Linked DNA regions of Coturnix japonica. The protein of the gene in region 3 interacts with the protein of the main gene of each other region in a pairwise test. Links are inferred from orthologs where the notes say so. Each region holds a gene or a part of one and is shown on either strand. Other genes may lie near its edges. The genes, in order: CCDC148, DIPK1B, SAT1, KCNA4 and CASP7.

Region 1 (4,302 bases), on a different chromosome or scaffold from region 3:
CCTGAAAGACTGTCAGCACAGAATGGCTTCCATGATTGGTTTCCAGTAAACACGACACAGCAAATCGGTTTCTAAACATGGACAAAGGTTAAGTTCCTTCTTACAGTCATCAAGGAATAACAGGAAGATCTTATAATTAAAAGAACCAAATTCTCAGGCAACCTGGCATGAAAGTTATGTGGGATGTCTCCATGTAGCACAACATAATCTAAGCCACTGTGAAGCCTTTGGGTTCTACATTGCCAATTGGAATCCAGAATTCCGACCTTTGCTATGCATCAAATTGACCAGCAATGTTTGCAGAGGTCTTTCCCATCCCTGGCTCTTCTGCTGGGAAGAAACACGGGGAATCCTGCAGCACGGGGAGCTCTAGAGCAGCCCACCCCCACCAAACCTCCTCAGAGCCTTCACCCAGGCACCAGGCGGGTGCCAAATGTGGTACCAAACACTACAGGAAAGGCGCATCCTTTTCTTAAATGACTGCACACCGTGACAACAGAGCAGTTCCAAGACACAGCAATGGGAAATTTATTGTAAGCTCCACTGTTACGGCCCAGACTACAGCCCTGGAGCTTCTCTGCTCGATACACAACGTGCTCTACATTTTAAACACTGTAGATTCCATATCTCTTCTGGGAAGCTTCGGTGGAGGAATCTTTGGTAAAATCTCTTTTGCATAAAGTGTTTTATGAAGCCCAGCTTCTCGAAGGGCTGCCTCGACACGAAGCCTGGGGTCAGAAATGATCTGTCAAAATAAACCACAGCGACGATGAAACAAAACCATACTTTCCTCATTTACACTGTGAGTAAAGATGCACCTAAAGGCCATTTGTGAATGTATGTGCAAATACATACATTCTATATGTTTATAACAAAAGAGTTCAAAGGGTGATTAAAAATGTTTTGGTCATAAAACAGAGACTTTGGAAGCGAAGAAGCTCAATGATGAATAACTCACTACATGTATTTTAATATCACCCTTTTTAAAGGGTGATAAGTCTCACGTATCAGCCTCACATGCACCTCTTCAGAGCACCCTGAAAGCCAGGCTTTTCCAAACCTCACAACACCCAGTGGATCTGGGTGAATTTTCTTAGCCAAACATAGACCTTTGCATTAGAAATCATTCCCATTCTGGAATCTGGAAATGATACTGACAGAAAGAAAAATGCTATTATGTAGTTCCATGGCATAAAAGCTTTATTTTAGCATTGAATAAGCTGAAATGTAATGATGTCTGATACCATGCTTGTCCGGCACTTCCCTTTTTATGACATTTTAAAGCTTCTCAGTTTCAAATGCACACTCTGACAGATGGAGAGCAGTAAAGGAAACAGAAAATCCCTCCCTTTGTTGTTTAACTTCAGTTGAAATAGAGCTAGCACTCAGCAGAGCGGGCGACCTGAGAACTACTTCACTGCTTAGCGCTGACTGGCTTCTCCTTTAGCCCTCACATCCAACATCCCATCTGATTTTCAGTTCAGCAACAGCGAGCAGGTAGCCACCATTCTAACTTTCAGTTTATGAAGAGATGCATAATAAGATTCCAAAATGAAAAGGATACCCCACCATGAAGTTATCTGTGGCACTGGTCCTCCATGCAGTAAGGAGGATTTTAACTTCACTTCAGATACTCAGCACAACACCAGCAGGAGCAGGTGAATAGGAGGCACTTTTTAAAGTGAGCGTGCAGAGGCATGAAAGGAGTGAGTTTTGAACTGGAGCAATAGCAAAGCACTCAGCAAGCAGCCAGCACCCAGCGGCCGCCTGGTCCTGCATGCTCCATGGTGGGAGATGCAGCTCAGGGACAGCACCGCAGCCCCTGGGGCACTGTGTCTGTGTGCTGCAGCACTGCAGACTCCTGGGCACGGAGCTGGCTCCACCCATTGCTCCTGAGGTTTCTAGTTTTTTTAGTCACATCCATTATACTCCATGTTCTGCTATTAACATTACCATTTCAGCTGTGCAATCATCATCATGTATTGCTCTCACAGTATGACTGCATACAACAAACCACGCAGTACAGTGACAGACTATTACCTGCTCTTCACTGTATGTTTGCAACTGAAACAGAGGCTTTTGAAGAACAAACTCTCCTGTGGTCCCAATGCCCATCCGAGCTTTAGACGCTGCAGTATCAGCCACCATTCTTGCTGGATCTGGTTTTGCTACAATGGAAACCTGAAGTACGTGATATGAAAACAGCCATTACAGTCTGCGTAGGCCTGTGGTGCTATCAGTAACATGTGTCCCTTGAAAATACAATCACTGACATGGTTTAGAACCTGAAGCCAATCTGCATCCATATATAAGTACTGTAGAGCCAAAAAGTTGAGCCTAGAGTCCGTGCATCCCCTCAGGGCACCCTGTGAGTGCACACAGAGCCCTGAGCACACACACTGCCCCTCTGCAGACCCCTCCCCAGCACAGCTCAAGGCTCTCCAAATGATCCCAGCAGCACAGCCAGGCCCTGCCAGCAACCGCCAAGTGCTGTAACACAGAACAGAGGGGAAGATACAAGATGTGAATGCAGGAAAACTATCTCAGAACGAACAGTGGAAACCACTTTGATGCAATGAAATTCCTGATGGAGACAATTCAGTTGCCTAGACTTTATATAGCACCGTGCATGCCTGGTAAGCGCAGGGCTGCCACAGCCTGGAGAACTGCCTGCTACATGGGCAGGCTGCACACAGAGCAACCCGCACACTGTGAATGCCAATGCCAGTACTTACTAAATGAAATAAACGTGAAAGATGAATGGCATTTCTGTAAAGAGAGAGCTCATGTTGCTACCTCACAAATGCTGCAGGGAAATAAGCTTATGTTGAGCTCCAGGTGACCAGAGGACAGCCCCTCCTGAGGAGATGCACCGCTGCTCCGTGTCATAAGGACAGTGCGTGGCCATGGTTGCAAAGGAGACCTCAGGGGTGGTACAGCAGAAGTGCCAGCATCTGCAGCTCTAGCACAGATCAACACGAGCTCTGATGTTCACAACCCATAACCAGAAGCAGTCAGCAGGCTCAGTTTAGCCACGTCCATATTTCTGGACATCATAGTCCACTTTAACTTCTTAATATTCTTGTTGGTTACAAAGCACATAAGATTTATAGCATGACAGAATTAACATTAACGTCAGACCTAAAGTGCATTTCAGCCTCTTCATTTATTTGCTTGTGGCGTAACATTTTGTTTTAACTTCCTCATAATATGTCAGTATGCGTTTCTGTCTCTACTGCATCTGCAAATACCACACATAAGAAATAGAAGCACCTTTTGTCGGAGCGCTTCCAGGCATTTCTCTTTCTCTTGTGCTGCACGTGCTTCTCGAAGGGCCTCTTCCTTTCTCTCCAGGATCCGCTTTTCGAGCAGCGCTTCTCTAAACTTCACCCTGTAGAACAGCACACACACAAACAGGAAAACCGGTCAAGTCCCACTTTAAAGTTGTTACTTTCCTATTGAAAACTTGCCTGATGCTCTCATCAGAACTCCTGACAAATGCAAAGAGTTCCTTTCCCTTTACATATTTCTTGTAAGTTGCTTAGCCTTTCAGACTTCATTTCTACAGCCCTAGCTCCTCTCTAGCAAGCCTTAAGCTTTATAGCACCATTACTCACTTTTTTCCATTTTCTTTGCCAAGAAGAAATGTTCTTTGACATCTGTGTATGGCAGCACAACTGTTCCCTGTAACCCTTTCCATTTAAAGAAACCGATCCCTTCCAAGAAGCAAGAAAACTCATGAATTAAAAACCTTCTCCAAAGGAACAAGCAGAGCACAGCACAAATAATCCTGAGGCTTTACTTGCAGCACTACCTCCACTGCTCAGCAGCCCTGGCTATCTGGCATCCACGCTTATCTGGTGAGACCAGAACGCAGCAGTGAGTCTGGGGTATATGTATATATTTAATAATTATTTTATAAGCCCAATCGCTCAATTTAAAATTAAAAATAGAAAGAATTCAGGCTAAGGGCAGAACATTCTTTGGTATCCGACTGCATCCATTAGGAACACTCTGAGTTTGCCCAGGCTGTCTCTCCCACTTGGAACAGTCAGCCAGCTCACACACATCAAGCCTTCTCCTTTCCCAGGAAAGCCTGACACATCAGATCAGAATCGCTGTGCTACTCGGATCCAACTCTTACAATCAGCTCTGCAGAGGCTTAAAAACACGTTGTGCTCCAGAACAGGCTAAGCATGTGAGGATACAATTAGTTCCTATAGAACTGCAGTCCTTCACCGTGAAACCATTACAGCAGCATGCCTGCCTTCAGTACAGCACATGCCTGATGCCATGCTAGTA
Region 2 (4,254 bases), on a different chromosome or scaffold from region 3:
GTAAAACCAGTCCAACAAAACCCACAACAAATCCACACGGGGTACATAACACTTTGCCTCTCTGCATTTCCCCTCTCATTAATTAACGCCTCTTAAAGGCTCCGGATATAAAATCTCTCATAGTCACCACCTGTCACAGAGGATCAATGGAACAGCATCAGTGAGATGCAGAGGCAAACAGCCCCTGTGCAGCTCCCTGCAGGAGCCATCGCTGGGAGCAGCACCACTGGGTTCATCATCACCCCTCCCCACTGCTTGCTATTTCCCCCCTTGAGCTGGCAAGGCAGCAAACCTGCTCTCAGCTTTATCAAGGACTAGATTATAACTATCCCAATTGATCTGATACGTAAAGGACACCAGGGCTTCTCCAGCCAGCTGTCTGCACTGGAAGAGCTCCCAGGGCTGCATAGGGTCTTATTAATCCCTTGATGCATAAAACCAACACCAATTAGCCCCAATGAGCCCAATCAGCTGTATGGTGTGGGGGAGAGGCCCCAAAGCTTTGTGGGGGGCACAGGAAGGAGCATTAGAGCCTGGAACCCTCAGCCATGAGCCTGGGACATGGATGGGGGTGGGCACCATGGGGATGTCCCACTGCCCCCCCTCATAAGATCCAGCCAACACCTGCAGCATTGCTATCACTCGTTTGATTGAATTAATTAATCATTTGGTTCTAACTGCTCATTAAGCATCCCAGCAATCAATACTAATCACTTAATTACTTGGCATATCACAGCTGGCGAAGGTCTGCTCGTTCCTAATTAGATTCTTTGGACGATCCACCCCCGGCCATCGCAGCGACACTCAGAGCAGTTCAGCCCCATCCCTCACCCTGCGCCCACCCTGGGCAGCCCCCCCATGTGCCGTTAATTGCCTCCACGCGGTGCCGTCCATCCCCGCACAACGATGCCGAGCACCCCAAGTGTTTTCGGGGCTCATCCGGAGCCGAAGTCCAATGGGGTGATCTGAAGAGAAAGGGACAAGTGGATAATGCGAGGAGCTACGAATAGCGACTGAGGAGCTTTAGAAGCAGCTTTGTGCGGAGCCATCCCGGAGCGCTCCCCGTCCTGTTTCTCTCTCTGTCCACCCGGCTCCTGCCCCGCACAGAACAGGCTGATCCGGCCGCGTTCTCCCGCACAAAGCAGCCCCTGTTTGGCTGGAGGTTTCCCAAACGCAACACTCGGAGCGCTGCTGCTGCTGCTGCTGCTGCTCGGCTTTGGCGTTCAGAAGGCGCAGCAGCGTTACGCGCAGAGCTCCGCAGCTCCTCGGGATCGGGAGCGGCACCCCCGGAACGCAGCGGGGTCAGTGCGGGGCTGAGGGGCGGCTGATGAGCGGGCACAGCCGAACAACGGCACCGGGCATCCTCAGCTTCTTCCCCCCCCCCCGCCCCCAATTCTCCTCCCCCCCGAGCTGCGGCGGAGCTGCGTGCACCGCCCCGCGCCGGGCGGAGCCGAGCCGGGCCGAGCCGATCGGAGCCGAACCGGGCCGAGAGCGCTGCGGCTGTGGACGGGCGGAGCGGCTCGGCCCCCCGCCCCTACCCCGACCCCCGGAGCGAGGCGGGGGCCGCAGCCATGCCCCCCGGTGATTGAGGCCCGCGGGGTGCCCGCAGCATGAGGAGGGTCCGGCGCTTGGTGCACCTGGTGCTGTTCTGCCCCATTTCCAAGGGCCTGCAGGTATCGCCCGGGGGTTGATCCGGGCCGGGAGGTTTGGGGGGGGGGGGGGCGGGATATGGGGCTGGATATGGGGGGGATTCGGGTCGGGAGAGGCTCCGTGCTGCCCATCCCCGCACAAAGGGATGCTTCGTAGCGCTGTGCGGGTGCTGAGGATAGCGATGGGATGGGGACCGGAGTGACGGGGGACCGAGCATCCACGCTGGTTGCATAACGCGCAGCTCGCAGCACCGCCAACATGTCGATGTGTGCATCCGTCTGTCCATCCATCCGCCCACCCATCCACTCCCCGTACATGTACAGCGGTGCAGCAGCATGGCTGACTTCCACCCTTTGCTTTTTTTTTCCCTGTTCTTTTATTTGCTTTTCCATCCTCAGCCCATGAGGCCGGGGGGGGGGTGGGGGCACTGAGGGGCTGGGACTGGTTGGGAGCTGAGATCTGTGGCTCTGCTCTGTCACCCTCCAAGTCCAAGGGCCTGAGGAGTGGCTGCATGGGGTTGGGGTCTTGCAGGGAGGGCCAAGCTGGTGGCATTGGGGCAAGGGCACGCGGGGGTGGTGACACTGTCCATATTGCCTTTGGTGGCAGCTGTGGACCCAAATCACTGCCACATCCCTTGGAGTCATCCTAAAACTAAAGACAGGGTAACAGATGCCCTCTGGCTCTGGGAAGGGCACCCCTGTGTCCTGGGAGGGGGGAAGGGAGAGGAATGCAGCATCAGACAAAGATCCACAATGTGCCCTGAACCCAATGGAGCCTCACTGCGGTGCATCCCAAACCTTCATGCTCCTTTCCACCATTTTGATGGATAATGAAATACCCCGTATGCTGTGCTCAGGTTTTAGCCTTGACCTCATGTCTGCTCAGGAACGTGATGGATCCTTGATCTGAATGAGCCCAAAGGGGCGTTTTAGCTGCCCAAGGCTTCGTCACTCCATGCTGGGGAAGAGATCCAGGAGCAGCAGTGGAACCAGACCCGCTGGTTCAGACCAGAGGTGCCTCTCCATCAGTACAGTGCACACTGCTGACGGCTGTGGGGGCTGCTGTGCTGTGAGGGTCTCACAATGTATCAGCCTCCAGTGCTTCAGGCTGCCTTTGGCTTTGATGCAACACAGCCCTGTGGGAAAATCCAGACATCCTTTATTTTTACCCAGCCCTCATGGAGGATTCTCTTGGAATAGGCGTGAATTAGCGGTGGGATTGATGGGCACAGGGGGCACTGTGAGTCCATTCATGCTTCAGTATTCCCAATTATGGTCCATCACCCACATGAGAGGTGCAAGGAGGGTCAGGTGGGCACTGAAGTTTTGCAGAGTGCTTTGCTGGGGAGTGGCTGTAATCTCTGCTTTTAGGGAATTTTAAGTGACCTACTTGCAGCAGGAGTTGCATAATAGACAGAAAAAAGGCTGAAGGTTCCATCAATGGATTTGTTTGGAAAAGTCCAATTCTTGACAGCACCGATGAGCTGAGCACCACTGTGTTCACTCACTGTGTCTTCCTTCCCTTGCAGAACCGCCTTCCAGGCATCAAGGTGAAGTACCTGCTGGTGGTGTGGCTGGGCATCTTCGTGGGCAGCTGGGTGGCCTACATGCATTACTCATCCTACTCTGAGCTCTGCCGTGGCCACGTCTGCCGGATGATAATCGTGAGTGATGGCGTGGGGAAAGGGTGAGCTGTGCCACCGGGAGCAGCTGTGGTTGCAGTGCTGGGGCTGCGTTGTGCTGGCTCCATCCCCAGCATCACGCTGAGCTCGCAGGCTGGGGAGGTGACCTTAATTCTGGCAGGGCGATGGCAAACTCACCTAATAGATGTCAGAGGGAAGCAGGCCAGGGAGACCCTGCACAGGAGCCCAGCTGGGGATGGTGGCCAAGCAGAGCTCCTTAGTACTGCTGCAGGTCTGCCCAGCCTGGCAGGGAGGGAGCAGAACAGCGAGGCTCTGCCTGGAAACACCTTGTTCATCAACCCTTCTGCAGAGCAGGGAGGCAGGAATTGCCATAACAACAGCAGCAATCGTTTAATTTGATTTTCTGCATGACTCCGACCGTGGGGTCTCGGGTGCTAATTCCTGCTCTGAGCTTGGTGTTTAAGGCACCGTGTCCAGCTGTGGCCCGTGTAGGCAGGTCTGAGGGTTAATTCCTATCCACACTGAATAAAAAACAAACCATAATGAAAGGCAATAGATGCTGTGAATTTCTGTAGCGCCTGTTTCCAGCCTGAGGCTGCTGAGCCCGCGCTGCTGACTGCAGAGCTGCAGCCTCTCCCACTCCTGGATGCTTCCAGCTCACCGAGCGAGCTGCCCTGCCTGTGGACCAGAGCCATGGCATGAACAGGGGCCAACCCATCTCATAGCACAGGCTGCTGCTCTGCTGAGAGCCTCCGCGCATCCTCACCATCACCCGGCTCCTGCTGGAGATGCCTGTTGCTTGGCAGTGGCTTTGCAATCAGATGCGCCCCTTTTAAAGAGGGGTTTTCTCTTGTATGAGGTTTGCATGAAATCAGAGGAAACAGGCTCACCATGGATGCAATGGCATTCATGAGAAACCACTCTCTGCTTTCCCTCCCCAGTGCGACCAGTACAAGAAAGGA
Region 3 (4,103 bases):
GCTGGACCTGGTTTTGGTAGCTGAGAAGGCTGAGAGGGGATCTCATAACTGTTTATAAATACCTAAAGTGTGAGAGTCATGTTGATGGGGCAAACTCTTTTTGGTAGTGAGCAGCAATAGAACAAGGGGCAATGCAGCTGGAACTCAAAGAGTTCTGTACTAACATGAGGAAGATCACAGAATCACAGAATTGTAGGGGTTGGAAGGGACCTCTAGAGATCATCGAGTCCAACCCCCCTGCCAAAGCAGGCTCCCTACACCACGTCACACAGGTAGGCATCCAGGCGGGTCTTGAATATCTCCAGAGAAGGAGACTCCACCACCTCCCTGGGCAGCCTGTTCCAGTGCTCCGTCACCCTCACTGTAAAGAAGTTCACTTCGTCACTGTGAGGATGATAGAGCCCTGGGACTGGCTGCTCAGAGAGCCTGTGGAGTTTGTTCTCTGGAGAGATTCAAGGCCCCTGTGGATGCCTTCCTGTGCAACCTGCTATAGGGTTGGACTCCATGATCTCCAGAGTTCCCTTCCAACCCCTACAGTTCTGTGATTATGTGATTTTGTGACTGCCACTTCCTGGTTTTTATATGCATCTGTTCTCTGGACAGCTCCATATTTGTTCTAATGGAGGCTAAACTGGATTTAGGGTGAATTTAAGATGTTAGAGCCTTCCAGGGCTCTAAGCATGTGCCAGATGGTTTTCTTGACCAAACCTGGACACCAGAATACACTTCTCCATCCAATCCTTGGGCAGTATCATGTTCCATACTGGTCCCTGTGTCTAAATGAAGGTGAAACTTCAGCATAGGAAGTTCCACATGAATGTGAGAAATAATTTGTTTACAGTGAGGGTGACGGAGCACTGGAACAGGCTGCCCATGGAGGTGGTGGAGTCTCCTTTTCTGGAGATATTCAAGACCCGCCTGGACGCCTACCTGTGTGACGTGGTGTAGGGAGCCTGCTCTGGCAGGGGGGTTGGACTCAATGATCTCTAGAGGTCCCTTCCAACCCCTACAATTCTGTGAACTTCTTAAGCCATGGTGTGCACTGGAAAACGGTGTGAGTGGCACAGCCGCCCCGAGCCTCACATACAGCAGGGGGGGCCTGTCCTGCTGCGCCTCCCGCCTCCGCCAGAGGGCGCCATGGCGGCCGGCAGTCACGAGACACCGGCGGCAGCTGTTGCTGGCAGGGCGAGGCAAGATTCCGGGGAGGGGCGCTACCATTGGCTGGGGGCGAGAGCTGCGGGCACTCCCATTGGCTGTCGTGCGGGGAGAGGCGGAGCGCGGTCATCTATAAATGGAGGCGGAGGATGCGCAGCCGGCGCAGTTGGCGTTGGATCGGGGTTGTTGTCGGGTGGGAGCCGTCTGCTTGCCGAGCGCCGCCGGGACATGCTCGCAGCCTGACTGACCGCAGGTGGCCGCCGCGCCCGGGACACGAATGAAGAAACAGCTGCTCCTCCTGTTCACACACCGGGGACTCGTCAGCCGAGGGGGCCGCAGGGGGAAACGCCGTCGAAAATGGCTTCGTTCAGTATCCGCGCCGCGCGTCCCGAGGACTGCTCAGACCTGCTGCGACTGATCAAGGTGCGGGACGCCAACGTTAGGCCAAGAGGGATGGGGTGGGGGGGGGTGGGATGGGATGGGGGGGGGGGAGAGAAGGAAAGGCGGCCGAACCCGGGGAAGGCGCAAACAGGGCGTTGCGCAAGGCCGAGGGGGGGAGGGAAGGAGGGAGGAGGGGTGATGGGCCCGGGGGAGGCGGCTGACGTGTTGTGCCGTTCCAGGAACTAGCCAAGTACGAGGACATGGAGGATCAAGTGGTGCTAACCGAGAAAGGTAGGCTTGCAGCGACTGCCCGCCCTGCTGCGGCTCGGTGCCGCCGCCCGCATCTGAAGGGTCCCGTTTGTTTTGCTCTCGTAGAGCTGCTGGAGGATGGATTCGGTGAGCACCCGTTCTACCACTGCCTCGTTGCGGAGGTGCCCAAAGAGCAGTGGTCGGCTGAAGGTGAGATATTGCGCCGCTCGTTTGTTCTTTTTACATAAGAGATGCCTTGTGCTTATTGTGACCTACCTGACTTGAGGTTCCAGCGAGGAGTCGGGGCAGGAGGAACAGGCTAAGCTTAAAAATGGCGATAACGTAGAGCCGTGCTGTTGTGAAGTAGTTGCTAACCTCGGAGATGCTGGATGATCAGGTGTAACAATGTACTTAATGCCAAGTAATTAAATGGCTTTTCTTGTTTGACCCTAACTTAACCTTATGTAATCCTGTTGAATCACATGTTTTCTTTAATTTGTCCCCAATCTTCAGGTTACAGTCTCTAGCTTCGCCATGTACATGGCCCTTCTGTGTACATGGATGGGCGGGGAGGTAACTAAAAGATCCGTTACACAATAAAGTAGATGATCATAATATGAGGTAAGGTCTACAGGGACAAGTGCTATTCCCAAACCTTTACCAAAGACACAGTAGATCAGAAGTTATTGCACGCTTCCTTTAGAGTATGTGCAGAGTATGATGGTAGACATTGCGATTTTCAAGGCTTAGATTTGAATATGTTATTGCAGGAAGAGCTGGTTTCTCTTCCCTGTTGAGTGGTGCAGCTGTACTTGAAGCTGCAGTTCTATGTAGCTTGATTTGTTGGTGCTGAATTCAAAACAGCACAATACAATCAGTGTGCACATATGTCAGCGTATCAGAAATGTATCAGAATGTACCAGTTGTCTTTGAGCATGTCTTCTCTCTACTGAGCAATACATTGGAAGATGAACCTTCTGTAGAGCTTTGTAGCTTGTCGGGGTTGCCAAGCAAGGCAGTGTTGGGGCGGTTACCTAGGCCTTGGACTGCTCTGTATTGCTTTGTATTCCAGAAGGGAAGTGCTGATAAATCAGTAGGGTATGTATTAGTAGAAATAAAGCCTTTTTGTTCACTGCTTATTATAACATTGCTCTTGAGCGTTTCAGGGTGTGAAGAGGGCAGTCTTCCGTTAGGTTGATGCCAGTTTATACTGACGTTTCCAGTTGTGCTTCATTCTTATTCTAACCTTATAGCAAACGGCTGCATGTCACTATCTGTATATTTAAATATGCATGTAAGACTTAATGCAAATCGGTAGCTTCAGACCAGCTAAAGCTGCGTGCTTTGTTTCAGGGCACAGCATCGTGGGCTTTGCTATGTATTACTTCACTTACGATCCATGGATTGGGAAGCTGTTGTATCTTGAAGATTTCTATGTGATGGCTGAATACAGAGGTAAGTACTATGGAATCAGACAAGCTGCTTCCTACAGAGCTACTTTAAAATTGAAATTGTCTTGCTGTTTTTTCCTTAAACTGTATATTTTTGTTGCTTTTTCCCTCAGGACTTGGCATTGGATCAGAAATCCTGAAGAATCTGAGTCAGGTATGTCTGAGTGTTAAGTCTAAATGAACAGCACTGGGGATGCATGATGGAGCAGTAGTCTTGATTTTCTGTTAGCTGCAATCAAGTTTCTCCTTGAGCACTACACAGGATTAGCATTGATGAGTTACTAAAAGAGAAATGACAGAGCTCCAGGCAGCCTTAACCACTGCCTAGAGGCTGAACTGAGAGATAAAGTGAACATCATGACTCGGAGCAATCTGCAGCTGGTGCTGCTTAGCATCAGACCCGCTGACCTGTGTTTGCGTTCCTGCAGGTTGCTGTCAAGTGCCGCTGCAGCAGCATGCACTTCCTAGTGGCAGAGTGGAACGAGCCCTCCATCAGGTTCTACAAGAGAAGGGGCGCCTCCGATCTGTCCACTGAAGAGGGCTGGAGGCTCTTCAAAATCGACAAGGAGTATCTGTTGAAGATGGCAACGGAAGAGTAGTGAGAGAAGATTCCAGCAACTAAACTCTTGCAATGAATATACGCGCTCTCTGAATAAACCCCTTCTTGCTTTCTGTGTTGGTAGTGGAATAAAATAGAGTGGATGGTAGTACTGTGCAACCATGGTCATAGAGTAATTGGTACCGTCAGCTGGAGCGGAGGCATCTCAAGTTGAATACGTGCTTGTATCCATCCTTTTACCAGTGTGAACTTGTAATCTTTGTATATGGAAACTTCATTCTTGTAAGTGGCATTCAAATGTGTACAAT
Region 4 (4,047 bases), on a different chromosome or scaffold from region 3:
CCTCCTCTTCCTCCTCACTCACGTCTTTCAGTATTCTCTCTTCAGAACCACTGAGAGGAAGCAGCTCAGAACAGGGGAAAGAGGCTCCACACTCCCTGCTTCCCAAGTGGTGGCTCCTCTTTCTCCCTTTCTTCCATCTCTTACCACTCTGGCGGTTAGGCAGGCTGCTGCGAGATGCATTCCCACCATGTGAGGAAGAAGCACCTCGACTCTGTTCCTGGTGATAGTGGTGATATGGTCCACCTCCACCTGTTGCCCCCCCTTCTACTGCTGCAGTTGCTGCTGCTACAGCTGCAGCTGCTGCAGCTCTTGACTGTGCCAGCCGCTCTCTCTCTCTGGCCCGAGCTTGGGCTGCATATCCATAGGGCATATGGCTGTTGCAGCCAGAGCTATCTGCACTCACCATTGCAACCTCCATTTTGCAACAGCTTTTTTGTTGCTTAGTGCAAGAGCTTTCGTTTTATTTACAGTGCAACCTTAACTTTCACCATAGAAAGTTTAAAGCTATTTGCATTTGGAGGACAGTGCATTGGACCCAGAGCGGGGCAACATAGTTGCAACACTGAATCTGTATTTTGGGAAACCACAGATCTACATTTTCTTACTGTCTAAAACTCTTGTGGGGGGGGAGGGGAAGGGGGGAAATGAAAAAAAGGAAAAAAAGGGAAAAAAACCCACCTATAATTTTACTAATAAGAAAAGATGAAACTCTCAAACTAGACCAAGGAACAGCGGAGGCTTTATTCTTTCATCCACTGAACCCTTTTATTTTCATTTATTTCCCATATCTACCACTGATCTGATCAGATTCATGACTACATTCATGAAGACAAAAACATGCAAAACAAAGGGTACCTGCTCTCCATAGATGATTTTAGTTCATCATTGCAACCAAATGCAAATAGTCTCTTTCCTCACAATTTGTTCCTGGTAATGCTTTGGCCTAGCAATCTTATTATTGTTTAATATCATGATTTGGGGAGTTGAAACTAATTCCAGCCATCACTCTATTTACACAGTGAGGAGGTCTTTGCAAATCCTTTCTTCAGCCTGTCAACAATGTTTCAAACCTGGGAGCAGCACCCAGGGCGTCAGCAGCAGTGGTAAGAGGAGGAGGAGGAGATGAAGACTGAGAAATTGGTTCTGAGGTCCCCATAGGACATAAGGGAGTGGATGGGTCACCCTTTGGTTATGGTCATGCAGAAGAAGCACTTAACCTGAGGCACATGCACAAACACACAAAAATAAACAAAACAAAAAGGGAGAAGATTGGATTGTTTTCCTCAAAGGTCACACTGCTCAAATGAAACTGTGTCATCTATTACCACGGTATTCTAATCTTCCCCTTCCCACACTATTCACACTTCTACATTACACACACACCCACATCACATGCACAGAGAATGTGAACGACTCTGTTCATAAGGTTGTGGGTGGGTATGTCATATATATATAGACAGCTATACAAAATCCCCACCCATACAAGCACTTGCATCCATACACAAACGCATGCTTCTGAAACACACATAAACACCAATAAAATACTGTAAAACCCTATGCATTCAGAGATTTGACTGCATACGTAATAGGCACACCTACATATATCTACATGAAATATCATAAGAAAAGCATTTAAACAAAGAGCGTTTCATAGTATTGCTAAAAACAACAGACTTAAGAATGTTATATTTTAATTGGTAACTGAATTTTCAACCCTAACAAACATCTCACTGAATTTAATTTAGAAACAGGCAGGTACAATGCTCACTCAAGTGAAAACACCGTGATATGGTGTGTCAAACTACTGCAGGTGCACTGAAGCAACATCTACATGCAGACACATACAAGAATTCACATACACACACCCCTCTGAAACAGAACCCTCATCTACAGCTGTATCTATTAATATATGAAAGAAGGTGAATACAGACAATTAAATGACCGCTATTTCTTTTTAAATCATACCCATACGTCGTGCAAAAAAAGGGTCTTAGGATTGCTGCAATACTTACTGTTCATAGGCAGACAAATAGCAGTGCTGTTCTTGCCAGTGTAAGGATCTGGTGACAGCAGTCCTGAGCAGGGGGCTGCGCCAATTGACCCACGCCTGCAGGTGGGTGGGTAGGTCGGTCGGCACCACAGGTTGACGAGTTATTTTTCTCTCTGCTTTCCCTGTGCAACAAGAGAGCCGAGAACGAGCCAAGGAGGCAGCTTAAGCTGGGGGCACTCTGCACAACCGCAGCTTCTCACCCAGGCGATTGCAAAAAGGCAATAAGCAACAGCCTTGTTCCAAAACGATAAAAGAACGAAAAAAAAAAGGGGGAGGAGGGGGAAGGGGAGGATGTGAGAGTGTTCGTGTGTGAGAGAGAAAAGGAATGAATGGATGAGCGTGATCACTAGGCTTCCCGAGCCCGGCTTCTGCTGTAGATTTGTAAAGCAACGTTAAGTAATCCGTGTACCAAGCCTATTTCCACTCACTGATGGGAGGACGAGTGTTGCTTCTTGCTGTTTCTCCCCGTCACATCCACACAGCAGCAGCTACCTGCATCGTTCACTTGTTGTGCGGTTTGTTTTTTTGTTTTTTTGGTAACGCTTATAAAACCCATAAAAATAACAATAATTGATTAAAAAAATAAATTAAAAAAAAAAAAAGGAAAACCACCCGAGGAAAAAGCAGCAGCTCTCTCCCACCAGGCTCCCACCGCCCGATGTGCAAAGCTGCAGCAGCCAGCAACCGCAGGAGCTGCGCGGCCGTCCGCTGCGATGCTGCCGACGCGAGCCCTGTTGCTCCGCGGAGGCGCCGCCCGCCGAGCCTGCGCGCCGCCGGGAGCAGCCGTGGGGCCGCGGCCGTTCCATCGCATCGCTCCCGGCCCGCGGTCGGCCCCTCGCGGCCGCGCCTCGCACTGCTCCCGGCCCAGAGGCGGCTGTGGATGGGAGCGTTAATGCCGGAGATTAACGCTCCAGCGCTGAATAATGCATCCAAAAATCTCCGTTCCCAAAGCAGTGCTGCAGGTTTTGGTTTCTGGTTGTCGTGGTTTCTTTGCTTTTTTTTCCCTTTCCCTTTGGGTTTTTGTTTTCTGTTAGTTTTGTTTGCTTACGGGTTGTCAAGGTGGCTGTAAAGTGCAAAAACAAACACATATTGAGCATCTGAGAAAAAGCACTAAGCTGGCTCCACCTCTGTCCTCCTAATACCTTCAGAGAGCGATTCCCACTGCTCAGCAGCCATATGCTCTTGTCACCTAAGCCAATTTAACCATTTACCCCTAATCCTGTATATACAGAAGAGAAGGTCCCAGTTCATGAATAGGACTACTTCACATATTTGTAGACAAGACCTAAAATATCATTTTGACACTCTTGCTAAAGGATACATGTCTTTGCTCCCTCTACCCTCAGGCTGAAACACCTGCAGTGCGCAAACCAGATACTCCTTCCCCATCTGGAAAATCTACCTATGGACTGATACCATGAAAATGCAGCTTGGCTATATCTGATAGTACAGCTACAATTCCACTGCCTCAATAAAATGTGCAGATGCTTCTCCTTAGTGCAAGATAAGCAAAATAAAGACTTGGGACTTCAGTAAGAATGAAAGAAGAGCAGCACTCACTCCAACCACTTACCTTAAGGTGTTAGTACAGGGACACAAACTGAATGGTGCAGCAAGTGGGTGAGGCACGTTTGTCATTGCCCAGGCCTACTCCTTTTGCACAGCCCAGAGAAACCTACAGGCTGTTCCCCTTCAGATCCCTCGTGGTAGAAGCCAGATAATTCATGTTATATCTGTCTCTACTGCCTGCTTCCATCAGCACTTGTACTCTTCATCTCATTCATGCCGGTAGGTTGACGTGCAACTGTATAAGGGAGACTTAAGGAACAACCAAATTAATATTAAAAGGTCCTAATGGCCTTGTCAGAAGTACTGTGAAATGCAAAAAAGACACTTTTATCTGTTTCAAAATCAAAACAATAACAACAATTTTATATATTTACAGATCAGTACTACAACTCACTTCATTCAGCTTTATATTTTCATAGTATTCAAAG
Region 5 (3,962 bases), on a different chromosome or scaffold from region 3:
AAGAACAAATTAAAGAAATTCAGTCCAGAATATACTCTCACAGAAATCTGATTTAGGGACATCTCATATCAAAGGTTTTAATGTTAATATTCCCAGCGAATTTTTCTTCCACATACTCATCTGGGTTTTTCTGAATTCATCTAAGTATCAACATATGTATATCCTGTGACTAAAATTTTACATCTGTGTTCTGTACTATGGGGAAAATTGTGTCTGACTGATTGTTTTAATCTCACTCTATAAACTTTTCATTGGATGTCCCTTGTATTTTTTTTTGTGAGGCTCGATGAGCAATCATTCACCATCCACTTTCTCCTTTGTGACTGCCACTGGTTTTGGTCATAAACCGTCTTCCTTTATCCTCTCACATTCCTTTTCTATATTCCTGCAGGCCAGAGAGTATCTATAAGATAATGACCTTATCAGTGTACTTGGATTTTTAACATCTCATTCCACTTCAGGCTAACATAACTTTTGCCAAGCAGCCCTGATAGATTATTTCAGACTCAATAATTTCCTACAAAACCTCTATTGAAAAATCTCAAACTTTTCCTATTCAATCTTTTATTCTGTCTTTATTTTATGAGTTCCTTTTTATTTCTAGCAAAAGAGGTTTCAAACTTGTATCTTCAAGGATTTCCCAAAAGATGAATGTCTCAAACTGATGAACAGCCAAATTACTTGAAATTTTTCTTATATTTAAAAAAAAAAACAAAGCGATAGAAATGCTGATTCTTGCTTTTCCTTCAGGAATAATCAACTTGGAGTTGCATAATTGAGTAACGACATTAGCATATCACTTCTTTAGAAGATGTCATATTTTAAGACATACATCTTATAAATTTTAAAAGAAAACTTGGAAAAATGCTTGAAGTTTTAGAAACAAATGTTATGTTGTCTGTCTTGTATCATGTGCATTTGTGATAGTTAAAAATACACATCTGAAAATGCATTTGAGGAATAGGAAAATGATAGACAAAAAAAATTCTGTGCTTTGCTTTAGGGCACACCAAAAGTCATGTAAGACAAAGGCAGCTTCACTTCTCTCACATATCTCCCAGATGTTACACCCATCACATCCCTATAATACACTACAAAGATGAAATGATATTCTTCAAGTGCTTCCTCTGAATTATCCACACTGAAGTGAACAATACATGTCCAACAATAAAAAATTAAACCTCTGTAAATACAAGTATTTGTAATAAACACCTGTACTAACATATTGTAAGTTTACCCCATTAATTAGTATTTTCTGATCTTCAACAGCATTTGTTAATTTTGCATGTTCGTTGTTTAGCTGTTGCATTTTCAGCCACATTCATCTAGTGTTTTACAGACAATGAGCACATTGTTCTTGCTGCCTGTACATTTAATGAAAGTAAAATTATGCTTCAGTGAGTCTACTAGGCTAAAATGAAAGGCTTTTAATTTATTCTGTAATGGGTTACATCTCTAGACTCAGTGAGGCTTCTTTGTGCTACGGTCTAGATGGTGCATCCAGGCTTTAAACTAACTTAAATAGTCAGCAGGGGATTCCAACGATGTGAGAGATTAGCTGAGCTGAATGCAGTAAAATAGATAATTAATGGCATATTTCATTCCCAGCTCCACGAAAGGGCAATGTTTAAGATGAGGGGCTACAACTGACACTAAATGAACTTAGTGGTCTCTTGACTACCAAGTAAGCTGATGGGAGATATTATGGGTCTCTAAATCAGAGCAATGCAAGGGCTGTTCAGCTTTAGGGTACAGATTAAATATGTTAGAACTTATACAACACTGAGTGCCTATCAGACACTCTTTGATGCTCTGGGCATGGCAAACTGAACACTGCAATCCCATTTGAAGGGCAGTATCACAGCTGACAAAAAGAAAAACAGAAATGGATGTAGTAACTTACTTTGCAAAAAGTGAGAGTCTGCTACTCCTGTCTGGTTTCGCATCAACTATATCATCTTGATCTCCATTACTTCTCTCTTCAGAGGAACGATCAGCACACTGATCTCCTGACATCTATAAATCAAGTACAAGAACGTAAGCATCTCTCAGTGAGTGCTATTATTTCAGTATTTCCTAAATAAAGCTGTTAAATGGACGCATGGGGTTGCCAGTTTATGTCCTGTGGTCCTTAACCAAGAGCGGCTATAGATTTCTGGTGCTGCATTAAAGTGGTACGATACATGCGTGGCCATCTCTGTTCTGCCTTGTGGTGAATGCCAAAAAGTCTGACACTACTCCAAACAAGGCAGATAAGAACAGAAGTAAAAGTCACGTTATGATCTTACAACTAATTGCCAGAAGATTCTTCATTATCTGGAAAGAAGTGCGTTTGGAAGGAAGTAGATACATGCAAATAGGCTTAAAAGGAACTCTATCATCTTCCAAGGATATGATCTTAATTTTCAATTTCTGTTTGGTCTATATCAACAGCGTACAGTCCTTAGGAAAAAAGCAAGTGCTTCTTGGAAATGAAGTTGCAACACAGGAAGGAAGGAAAGTGTGCAGGCCACGGGCAGAAGGAGAAGATGCCCCAGCGAAGCGGTCCCACCTACGCAGGTGGAGGAAATCAGCGCCATCGATTGCAAATAATACAAGGAAATGGCTGTGCAGCCACGCGAAGGGTCGGACCGCTTCCAGCCCTCTGCAGCGCGAGGTAGGGGGACAGTGGGAGGGAGCGGGGCGGAATAGAGCAAAGCCCGAGGGACCCGAAGGGCAGGGGACTGGCAGCGGGGCTTGCCTTAACGCTGGGCTCCGGAGAGACGGAAGCGAAAGCAAAAGCGAAAGCAGAAGGTGGGGCCTGCGGGCAGAGAGCGGGGCGGGGTCTGTCCTTGTCCCGGTGCGCTCCGCCCGGTGGCCGGGCGTGCCGGCTGTCCCGGGGCTGTGGGGCTTAGTGTCCCCCTTCTTTCATCTTCATCCCAAAGATGAGAAAATTGCTGCTTTTTAACAGCAACGTTCCGACACACCCCCTCGAAAGAGGAACCTGAAGTTTCATGGTGACACGAGATTGTCTAGATCTAAGGAAATTTTTTCCCTTATATAAACTTCAGTGGCATTTCCTTATCTTTCCAATTATTCACTGTGTTGCATCTCCGCTAATTGTGATACCCCACTGTGTAGCCGTTGCATCGGACCCAGCAGTTCAGTGCATGGGCTGGAGATTGGCACAGTCTTGCTAATTACTCCTGGATACGGGCTCCGATCCTGCAAAATCACACACCTACCCAGCGGCGTGCGGTGTTTAACATTCGCTACCTGAAGAGATTCACATCAAAGCGACATTTTTCAGTGTAACTGCCTCATAATTGGCACAAAACACAGGCTTTGTAACAAACAGCCTTTTGCTTCTCGACAGGTCACCGCTTCGATGTGAGCGAGCAGTGTCTGAGCTGCGCATGGCTCTCGCCAAGCTTCTGTGTGCTGCTGCAGGGCCGAGCTCCGCTCTGTGGGATTATGCCTGTAGCTCCTGGTTGGAGACAGAGCCAAAGCTTGCTGCTGAAAATTAAGCTCTAACAGAGTCCCATGGCTCCTCTCACGCCATCTGTTAGCTGCTTCTTTTCTAGAAGCCAGCTCCATTTCCAAATCTGTAATAGATCTTTAAGGACAACAGAGGAACTAGAAATGTAATGGATCTTCAAGTAAATGTGTGGAGAGGTGAGGTGGGAGAGAGTTGTAGAACCATAGAATGGCTTAGGTTGGAAAGAACATTGAGTTCCAAACCCCCTGCCATCGGCATGTTTACCCCCCACCAGCCATGCTGCCCAGGGCTCCAACCAACCTGACCCTGATGCCTCTAGGGATGGGGCATGCACAGCTCTGGGCAGCCTCTGCCAGTGCCTCACCACCACCATCTCCCATGAGCTTTCTCTTCTCCAAGCTAAACAACCCCAGTCCTTTGATCAGGATTATGGCATAAACAGCAATGACTGGCACTGGTTCGTGAACATCCAAATACGCTTTCC

What was found.
Region 1: the proteins of SAT1 (region 3) and CCDC148 interact in binary tests that used the Homo sapiens proteins (3 or more experiments, as listed by UniProt). The two-hybrid records come from large-scale screens. The link is inferred for Coturnix japonica from reciprocal best matches to the Homo sapiens genes SAT1 and CCDC148.
Region 2: the proteins of SAT1 (region 3) and DIPK1B interact in binary tests that used the Homo sapiens proteins (3 or more experiments, as listed by UniProt). The two-hybrid records come from large-scale screens. The link is inferred for Coturnix japonica from reciprocal best matches to the Homo sapiens genes SAT1 and DIPK1B.
Region 4: the proteins of SAT1 (region 3) and KCNA4 interact in binary tests that used the Homo sapiens proteins (3 or more experiments, as listed by UniProt). The link is inferred for Coturnix japonica from reciprocal best matches to the Homo sapiens genes SAT1 and KCNA4.
Region 5: the proteins of SAT1 (region 3) and CASP7 interact in binary tests that used the Homo sapiens proteins (3 or more experiments, as listed by UniProt). The two-hybrid records come from large-scale screens. The link is inferred for Coturnix japonica from reciprocal best matches to the Homo sapiens genes SAT1 and CASP7.

What each region holds. Positions count from the first base shown.
Region 1 is NC_029522.1:33,155,831-33,160,132, forward strand, and holds the end of CCDC148 (coiled-coil domain-containing protein 148), read right to left. Parts: intron 3,392-4,302; coding exon 3,274-3,391; intron 2,182-3,273; coding exon 2,041-2,181; intron 746-2,040; coding exon 599-745; 3' UTR 505-598; downstream 1-504.
Region 2 is NC_029532.1:6,229,808-6,234,061, reverse strand, and holds the start of DIPK1B (divergent protein kinase domain 1B), read left to right. Parts: upstream 1-1,454; 5' UTR 1,455-1,610; coding exon 1,611-1,673; intron 1,674-3,178; coding exon 3,179-3,313; intron 3,314-4,233; coding exon 4,234-4,254.
Region 3 is NC_029516.1:107,414,827-107,418,929, forward strand, and holds the start of SAT1 (diamine acetyltransferase 1), read left to right. Parts: upstream 1-1,298; 5' UTR 1,299-1,512; coding exon 1,513-1,578; intron 1,579-1,775; coding exon 1,776-1,995; intron 1,996-3,138; coding exon 3,139-3,240; intron 3,241-3,349; coding exon 3,350-3,390; intron 3,391-3,664; coding exon 3,665-3,835; 3' UTR 3,836-4,103. UniProt on the Homo sapiens protein: Enzyme which catalyzes the acetylation of polyamines. Substrate specificity: norspermidine = spermidine >> spermine > N(1)-acetylspermine. This highly regulated enzyme allows a fine attenuation of the intracellular concentration of polyamines.
Region 4 is NC_029520.1:5,295,400-5,299,446, reverse strand, and holds the start of KCNA4 (potassium voltage-gated channel subfamily A member 4), read right to left. Parts: upstream 2,808-4,047; 5' UTR 2,013-2,807; intron 1,218-2,012; 5' UTR 419-1,217; coding exon 1-418. UniProt on the Homo sapiens protein: Voltage-gated potassium channel that mediates transmembrane potassium transport in excitable membranes. Forms tetrameric potassium-selective channels through which potassium ions pass in accordance with their electrochemical gradient.
Region 5 is NC_029521.1:24,406,379-24,410,340, reverse strand, and holds the start of CASP7 (caspase-7), read right to left. Parts: upstream 2,802-3,962; 5' UTR 2,741-2,801; intron 2,657-2,740; exon of another isoform or gene 2,434-2,656; intron 2,017-2,433; coding exon 1,904-2,016; intron 1-1,903. UniProt on the Homo sapiens protein: Thiol protease involved in different programmed cell death processes, such as apoptosis, pyroptosis or granzyme-mediated programmed cell death, by proteolytically cleaving target proteins.